Linked DNA regions of Rattus norvegicus. The protein of the gene in region 2 purifies or fractionates together with the protein of the main gene of each other region. This does not show direct contact. Links are inferred from orthologs where the notes say so. Each region holds a gene or a part of one and is shown on either strand. Other genes may lie near its edges. The genes, in order: Pax9 and Kdm5b.

Evidence for each region.
Region 1: the proteins of Kdm5b (region 2) and Pax9 purify together in Homo sapiens (affinity purification with western blotting, with the first as the bait; 3 studies listed by BioGRID). This does not show direct contact. The link is inferred for Rattus norvegicus from reciprocal best matches to the Homo sapiens genes KDM5B and PAX9.

What each region holds. Positions count from the first base shown.
Region 1 is NC_086024.1:79,924,593-79,928,411, forward strand, and holds part of Pax9 (paired box protein Pax-9), read left to right. Parts: intron 1-1,599; coding exon 1,600-1,742; intron 1,743-3,819. UniProt on the Homo sapiens protein: Transcription factor required for normal development of thymus, parathyroid glands, ultimobranchial bodies, teeth, skeletal elements of skull and larynx as well as distal limbs.
Region 2 is NC_086031.1:48,620,205-48,623,431, forward strand, and holds part of Kdm5b (lysine-specific demethylase 5B), read left to right. Parts: intron 1-368; coding exon 369-480; intron 481-1,675; coding exon 1,676-1,830; intron 1,831-3,061; coding exon 3,062-3,227. UniProt on the Homo sapiens protein: Histone demethylase that demethylates 'Lys-4' of histone H3, thereby playing a central role in histone code. Does not demethylate histone H3 'Lys-9' or H3 'Lys-27'. Demethylates trimethylated, dimethylated and monomethylated H3 'Lys-4'.

The DNA.
Region 1 (3,819 bases), on a different chromosome or scaffold from region 2:
CTAGTTGGAGACTCGGTTGGAGACGTTGCCCTTGATTTATAGGATAAACTGACCTCATTGACATTTAAAGGAAGCCCCTGTTCGTGGGAAAGTGTGAGATCAGCAGAAATGGGGGCTCACAGGGGGATCTCAATTTCTTAAGATAACTTTAGACTTATGCCCACCGATTGCCTTTTGTCTGGGACGGCAGCAAATAGCGTCAGACAGTAGTTGTGAATCAGTCATGGCTTCCTGGTACAAAAATGGGAACACAATCTTTGTCTTTGGAGGGGGAGACAAAATGAAAATAGGCTGACAGTAGAAAAAAAAACTTTTCACCTCTGCATAGTCCTGCAACCAGACCGAATGTCAGGTAGGGAGGAATTGGAGTAGAGAAGGCAGTGATGCTTCCGGGTAGATAAGTGTTGTCTATTTGTGATGTCACTTTTAAACAAGCAGGGTTCTGACAAATCTGTGCATGTAAAAGGGTAATTTCTCCAAATGACCGCTCTTTGAAACACCTGTATCAGATGGGAGTGTATAAAATCAAGTATAAAAGACACTGTCAAACTTCTATACATGGGGCCCAGAAGCAGAATTAGATGCATGCAATCTTCAAATATCTTTTTTCCCCCATATGCAAACTGTAGATGTTATGAAAATCTTTTAGGGGGGGTCTGTATCTCCTTTAAGAACAGAAAGATTGGTAGATGGTTTTGCTCCCTTTCTTAACGTTAAATTCTACTTTCATTTTCTTTACACTTTATTTCATTTTCTCTATCTGATGCCTAAAAAAAAGAACATTCTTTACAATTCCACCGTTGACAATCGCGGTATTTCCAGACTTAGTTATTTAAAAAGAATAGGCATATACCCTTACTTATTTAGCAGGCAGTGGCGATGTAGGGTAGTCCTGAATCCATACAATGCGGGAATCTGTGTACTTACATTTTGCATAGGTATTGTGGGCATCGCTCAGTTATTTGTTTGCAAAGGACTTTGCGGGCCTTTTGTTCTGTCTTATTGACATAGCTATCAGATCCCCACAGTGTAGTGAGCATTTGTCAGGTTGTTTCTGCGCATCACCGGGTCACACTTGGGCCAGGCCTCCTCTCTTCCTCATCAGTCCTCCCCACTGGTCATGTCTTTGCCACTCTCCTTCAGTAGGGACAGAGGTAAGGAACAAATATCCCATTTACAGGTTTGGATTTTTTTCTTCTGTTTGGGAAAAACAAACAAACAAACAACAAACAAAAATCAAAACAAGACTCCTCTCTTTCAATCCGTTCCCTGGGAGATCAAGGAGGAAGAAAGAAAATCTAATGCTGCCTTAGGAAACGAAGAAAGGAAAAAAAAAAAAAAAAAAAAAAAAAAAAAACATCCGCCAGGAGTGGGTGAAACTTAACTCAGAGGCCTACTTTCAGGCCATTAAAACTTCTCCAGGCCCTAGCCTGAAAACAGAGGAGTCTGCGCCTAGGCCCAGCGTCCTTAGGAGGCCTAGTGCAGGGGAGTGGACCAAAGGTCTTAGCCTAGGACCTTTGTGGTAGGGGATTCGGGTCTTGTCTCAGGAGGGGGCGCGCGGGTTGAGCCCCGCCTGAAATCTCCCTTCCACCTTCTCAGGAGTGAGCGACAGCTCCCCCTACCACAGCCCCAAGGTGGAGGAGTGGAGCAGCCTGGGCCGCAACAACTTCTCTGCTGCAGCCCCGCACGCAGTGAATGGATTGGAGAAGGGAGCCTTGGAGCAAGAAGCCAAGTACGGCCAGGTGAGGAGGAGAGGGCTTAGCTCGGCGGGCTGCCTGCTGTTGGGGATTGGAGATGAGGGACGCCTTGAAGAGGGAGAAGTGGCTGCCGACCCACTGGGGCCGGAGATGGATCCCGGGTTGGCTGAGTCTGGGCTGATGCCTGGGTTAAAGCCTAGCATCCCGCCGCGCCTGTGGCTCCAAACCTTCCAGCCCAGCCGGGTTCAGTCTATCCAAGGCCGAGCTTCGGCACGGCCAGACTTTGGGGTTCAGAGCAGCGAGCGCCCGGCTAGCGGGCTGCGCCTGGAGGCCGGAGTCGCAAGGCTTGTGGGAGGCTGCGGGGTCATGTGCACAGACAGCTCCCCCGTGCTTCCAGACATCAGCTTGTCCGGTGAGAATGGAAGAGGGGCAACCAGATAAACGTAATAAAGTTACCATTTCCCGATTAAAGGTCACATCGTAATTTCCCAGGGGAGGTTAGTGAGAAAACCTCAAATTATACGGACTGGCTGTGGACCGTTTAATTCCCCCCTCCTGCCCCCCCCTCCCCGTCCCTCCCTCTACTCTCTGAAAGAAAATTTAAAACACTGGTGTTTCTTTCTTTTTTTTTTTCTCCTCCTTGAGAAGAATGAAGCAACAGTCACACAAAAGTGTGAGTCCAAATTTCGTCAGTATGCTAGAATGAAGAGTTCAAAACTCAAATGGCAAAACTTCAAGGCAGTGTGCCTTATTCCCGAAGTAGACCTCCAAAGCCTCAACGTACTTAGTCTTATTTTAGAGCCTTAAATTTTTTAAAGTGTCTTCTCAAAAATCAGTTATAATATTTGTTGGAATTTATTATTTTTATCTATTGGGCGGATATCCTAACCATTTTCGCTAATAAATCGCATTTTGATTTCCTCGTCTCTCTCAAGGTTTGTCAGAATTCATTAGTAGCTAATTTCCTGGCAAATATTACCAAAAACAGCAAGGAGAGAGCAAGCCGCTTTTCTAAGTCTGGTTCCACTGTAAAGAATACCCGTTAGGTATCTATAAGCAAATTCACCATTTTCTTTCGCAAAGACCTGCCTATAACTCTCAGCTCACTGAGCGGTGGTGTGCGCCATGATTAAAAGCTCGGTAACCCACCACAGCTTCTTAAGCAAGCGGTTTACCCATTTAGAGCCTCTTCATTTTCTTAGACTTTCTTCATTTTCAAAATAAGGAACTAGTAATTCCAAAGTCAGAGTCAGTACAATGTTAAGGCTCTTAGGAAACATTCATTAAGTATCCCCTGTGGTTAAAAATGGCAGTGAGAGACTTTTTACAAGTGATACACATAATATTCATGGTTTAGAAAATCTATAGTAAGAAACATCCTACCAAGCATCTATGACAAACAATGGAAAATGTACAGAAAGCCTGGAGAACAGTAGCAGGTATTTAACAGGAGCTCTGCGCTGTCTTGGAATCACATCATGAAGTTCTGAGTTCAAAATCAGCCCCAGTTCCCACAATCCGTCAATCCATCCCGTTTGCATAAAAAGCAGCTTCCTCATCGAAAACCTTCCTAGCTACTTTCACTTCCCTCTCTTGAATCTCTCAGTGAAGCTTGTTTAGAAAGGGCTAATTTAAAATATGCTTCAGAACTAAACTTGCAACTTATTTAAAATAAATAGCATTTCAAGTGAATGCCATTTCACTAAAAATCACTCACGAAGAATTTTAAAGTAGTAAACAATGTTTCATAAAAGCAAATAACTTCAGGAAAATGGGTGGACAAATAAATGTTGTTCTAAATATTATAATACTTAAGAGAACAGGCCCCCAGATAAAAGGATACTTATGTCAAGTTAATATTTAAACAGTTCTTACTGAAATGTTATTCCATTCTGCCATTTAGGTAGATAATTCAAATGACACAGGATCATAAAACGTTCAGAGTTTCTAAGCACAACATGAATCAGTGGATACTCTTATGACAAAAGATATGTTAAGGAGACAAAAACCTCACTTTAGAGATTAATTTGGTGTAAAATTACATAAAAATGCTTAAGAACTTAGAACACACAGGATTTGCATATGTGTGTATTTCTCTTGAAATATTCTAAAGCTAAGTTTA
Region 2 (3,227 bases):
AGAGTCTGTTGTACTTCTTGACACAGGCTGTGCTGGGAGTTTGATTATAAAGGGGAAGGACAAAGTTGTGGCTGGTTTTTGAGATAGGGTTTCATAGAGCCAGGGATACAGGTGTGAGTGAGCCTCCGTGCCTGGCTCGTGACAGTTACATGCCGTCTGAGTAGCTTGTCTTACCCTATCAAAGCTTAGTAAAGAGTTACACAAGCACTGAAAGGTGGTATGATCTGTTCGCTTGCAGAGAAAACACGGTTTGTTTCCCAACCTCTGTGAGGTCAGTCTGAGTTAACTTGGGTAGTTGAATGGCTTTGTTTCTGTGAGGGTGGAAGGCCAAAGCCTCGTATCGTAATAAGCTGTTTCTCTTCCATCAGGTGTCTCAACCTCCTGGCACAACATCCTTTTCATTGCCGGAAGACTGGGACAACAGAACCTCATATTTACACTCTCCCTTCTCTACCGGTCAGAGTTGTATCCCCCTTCATGGTTTGTATTTTATTTTACACTATTCCTAGATAGGCCTAGGCTTTGTAGTAGATGATCTGGTATTCTAAAGAACCTCGTGTAACACGAGCATTCTGGAGGCAGAGGCAGGGTGATTATGGGTTCAAGGCCTCGGGGATACAAAGCAAGGAAGACCTGTTACTGTACATTTTCTAATAATGATGTTCATATTTGAAGATCTAATGTAAATGTAAAGGATACCAGGATGCATCGGCTACTCTGATTTATTTAAGGATAAGAGATAATCCAGTGCCATTTACCACCAAGGACCATGCATTCAGGGCCCATGCTAAGTCGTAGATGCCAACCTCGTTTGCGACTTCTGGCAGATATTGAAAGTCACTCATTTTAAATCTACCTCCTTTCCTCTTCCCTTCTGGGTGGCCTTAAATTCATTCTTTAGTCAAAATTATCTCTTCTTTTAACATTGTTATTTTGTGTGTATGGTGTTCTGCCTATGGTTTGTCTGGACCATGTGCATGCAGCGCCTACAGAGACTGTCTGGGACTGGAGTTGTAGACAGTTGTGAGCCACCACGTGGGTGCTGGGAATTGAACCCAGCTCCTCTGGAAGAGCAGCCAGTGCTCTTGATTTCTGAGCCATCTCTCCAGCCCTGGAAAATGATCTTGAAATCCTGGTCCAGGCTCCTCTTACCAAGTGCTAAGATTACAAGTGCGCGCTCTCAAACCTGGCTTTCTCCTCTTCGTGTGTATGTGTGTGCAACACGGGCTTCGTTAGGTAATGTTGGCCACAAACTCCCCGTGTAGCTGAGGGTGAGTTTGAGCTTCTGATTCTATTTCTAGTTCTGAAGTGCGGGGATTAGAAGCGTGTACCACCATTCATAATCCTCGTTTCTTCAAGAGTTCTTTTTCTCGGTGTTTAGTCATGTGGTCCGAGCTCCTTGCTCTCCTCCAGTTGGTCATGCTCCGGGTGACAGTGAAATCTGTCGGTTGCGATGGAGTGGGTTTTCCCCTGTAGCCAGAAGTATTAGGGAATCTACTTTAGCCTCCCTTTGTCGTATTGTGGTTTAGGTACATTAAGTAAACCTAACAAAACTGACTACAGTTAGAGGAATGGTGGAAGGCGGTGTGGAGATGGTCTTCTGTCCCTCACAGGCTTACCAGTGCTTGTATTAAATGTCTCCATCCCCATTCTGATTGGATGTGGCTGTCAACAGGTTTGAGTCCAGAGGTGAATGAATTGCTGATGGAAGCCCAGTTGCTCCAGGTGTCCCTCCCTGAAGTCCAGGAGCTTTATCAGACTTTACTTACGAAGCCAAGCTCTGCTCAGCAAGCCGACCGAAGCTCACCAGTCAGACCCAGCAGTGAGAAGGTGAGTGAGCCTCTGAAGACCTGCCTCGGTGTTGTACTCATGTCGTTCTAATGATTTTACAGAGGCGATGGCGGTGTCTCTGAGCCACAGGAGCGTACAAGCTGTCCACCTCCCAGGTCTACTGGACAAGGACACATTGCACACCTTTGCCAGCAGTTTGAGTGTCACAGCTTAGATCGGGGTCCTCAATCTTTACATCTTTTTTTTTTCCTCTTTAAGGGAACTTTTCTTACCTCTCCCATATGATAATATTGCGAGAAGTAGGGTTATCTTCCTCTATAGAAGCATTGCTATAAGGATGAAAATATAATTGTAGCTGAAAGAGCCTTTTGTTAGTAAATATTTTAAAGATGCTAGATAAGAGATGCTTTCCATTATCCCTCCCAACAAGTAGGTGGATGCAGCCAGTACTGCAGGTGTAGGGCTGAGGGTGCTTACCCTGACAGAGACTCGGTAGTGTCTCCCATGTCCCTTTCATGTGTATTTTTGTGTGGTATGTTTATATGTGCAAACTCTCACATGTGCATGTCCAGGTGCACCCACCTCACACGTTGATTCTGAGTCGTGGATTGCTCTCCAGCCACCTGATTCTCTGAAATTGGATCTCTGAATTGGGCTCAGAGATAGCAGATAGCCAGGCAGACAGGCTACCACAGCCACTGAGTATTGACATGGATTTGGGGTCCTCTCTTGCTTTTATGGCGGATGCAATAACTTCTCTCCAGTCTCTAATGTCCCGGGTCTCTGCACTGTTAAGGAGCTTCTGCTCCCTTCTAGCTCTGGGAGGAGCCGTCACACAGAGTGCCCCCGAGAATATAATCAGGATGAAAAACATACTAGGGAAGCCTGAAGCCACAAGGAAAAAGATCCTTACGAAAGGTGCCCTGAAACACTGATCATAGCCCACCTAATCATCTCACTCCTCTAAGGGTTGTAAGAGGCGTCCTTCACAAATGCTTGGCGTAGCCCACCTCACTGAAGGATTTGGGGAAAGATGTGTCTGTGTGCTCTCAGGCCTCCTTGAAGGTTGGTTGTGTCGTTACTGCCCTTTCCCCGTGTTAGCCCCAGCTCAACACAGTGAAGACCCAGGCTGTGAAGATGGTTTCAGTGGTTCGGATCAGTGCATTCCCGGGATCCTTTGGTTTCTCATTTGCATATATTTCTCTAGTTGCATCAGTTTTAGTAACGAACAGACTGAATGCTAAAATTGAATTTGCCATCTCCCACCCAGAACGATTGTCTTCGAGGGAAACGAGATGCAATCAACAGTCTTGAGAGAAAACTGAAAAGACGCCCAGAAAGAGAAGGCCTTCCCAGTGAACGGTGGGATCGAGTTAAAAAAATGCGGACCCCTCAAAAGAAGAAAATCAAACTGAGTCACCCCAAGGACATGAACA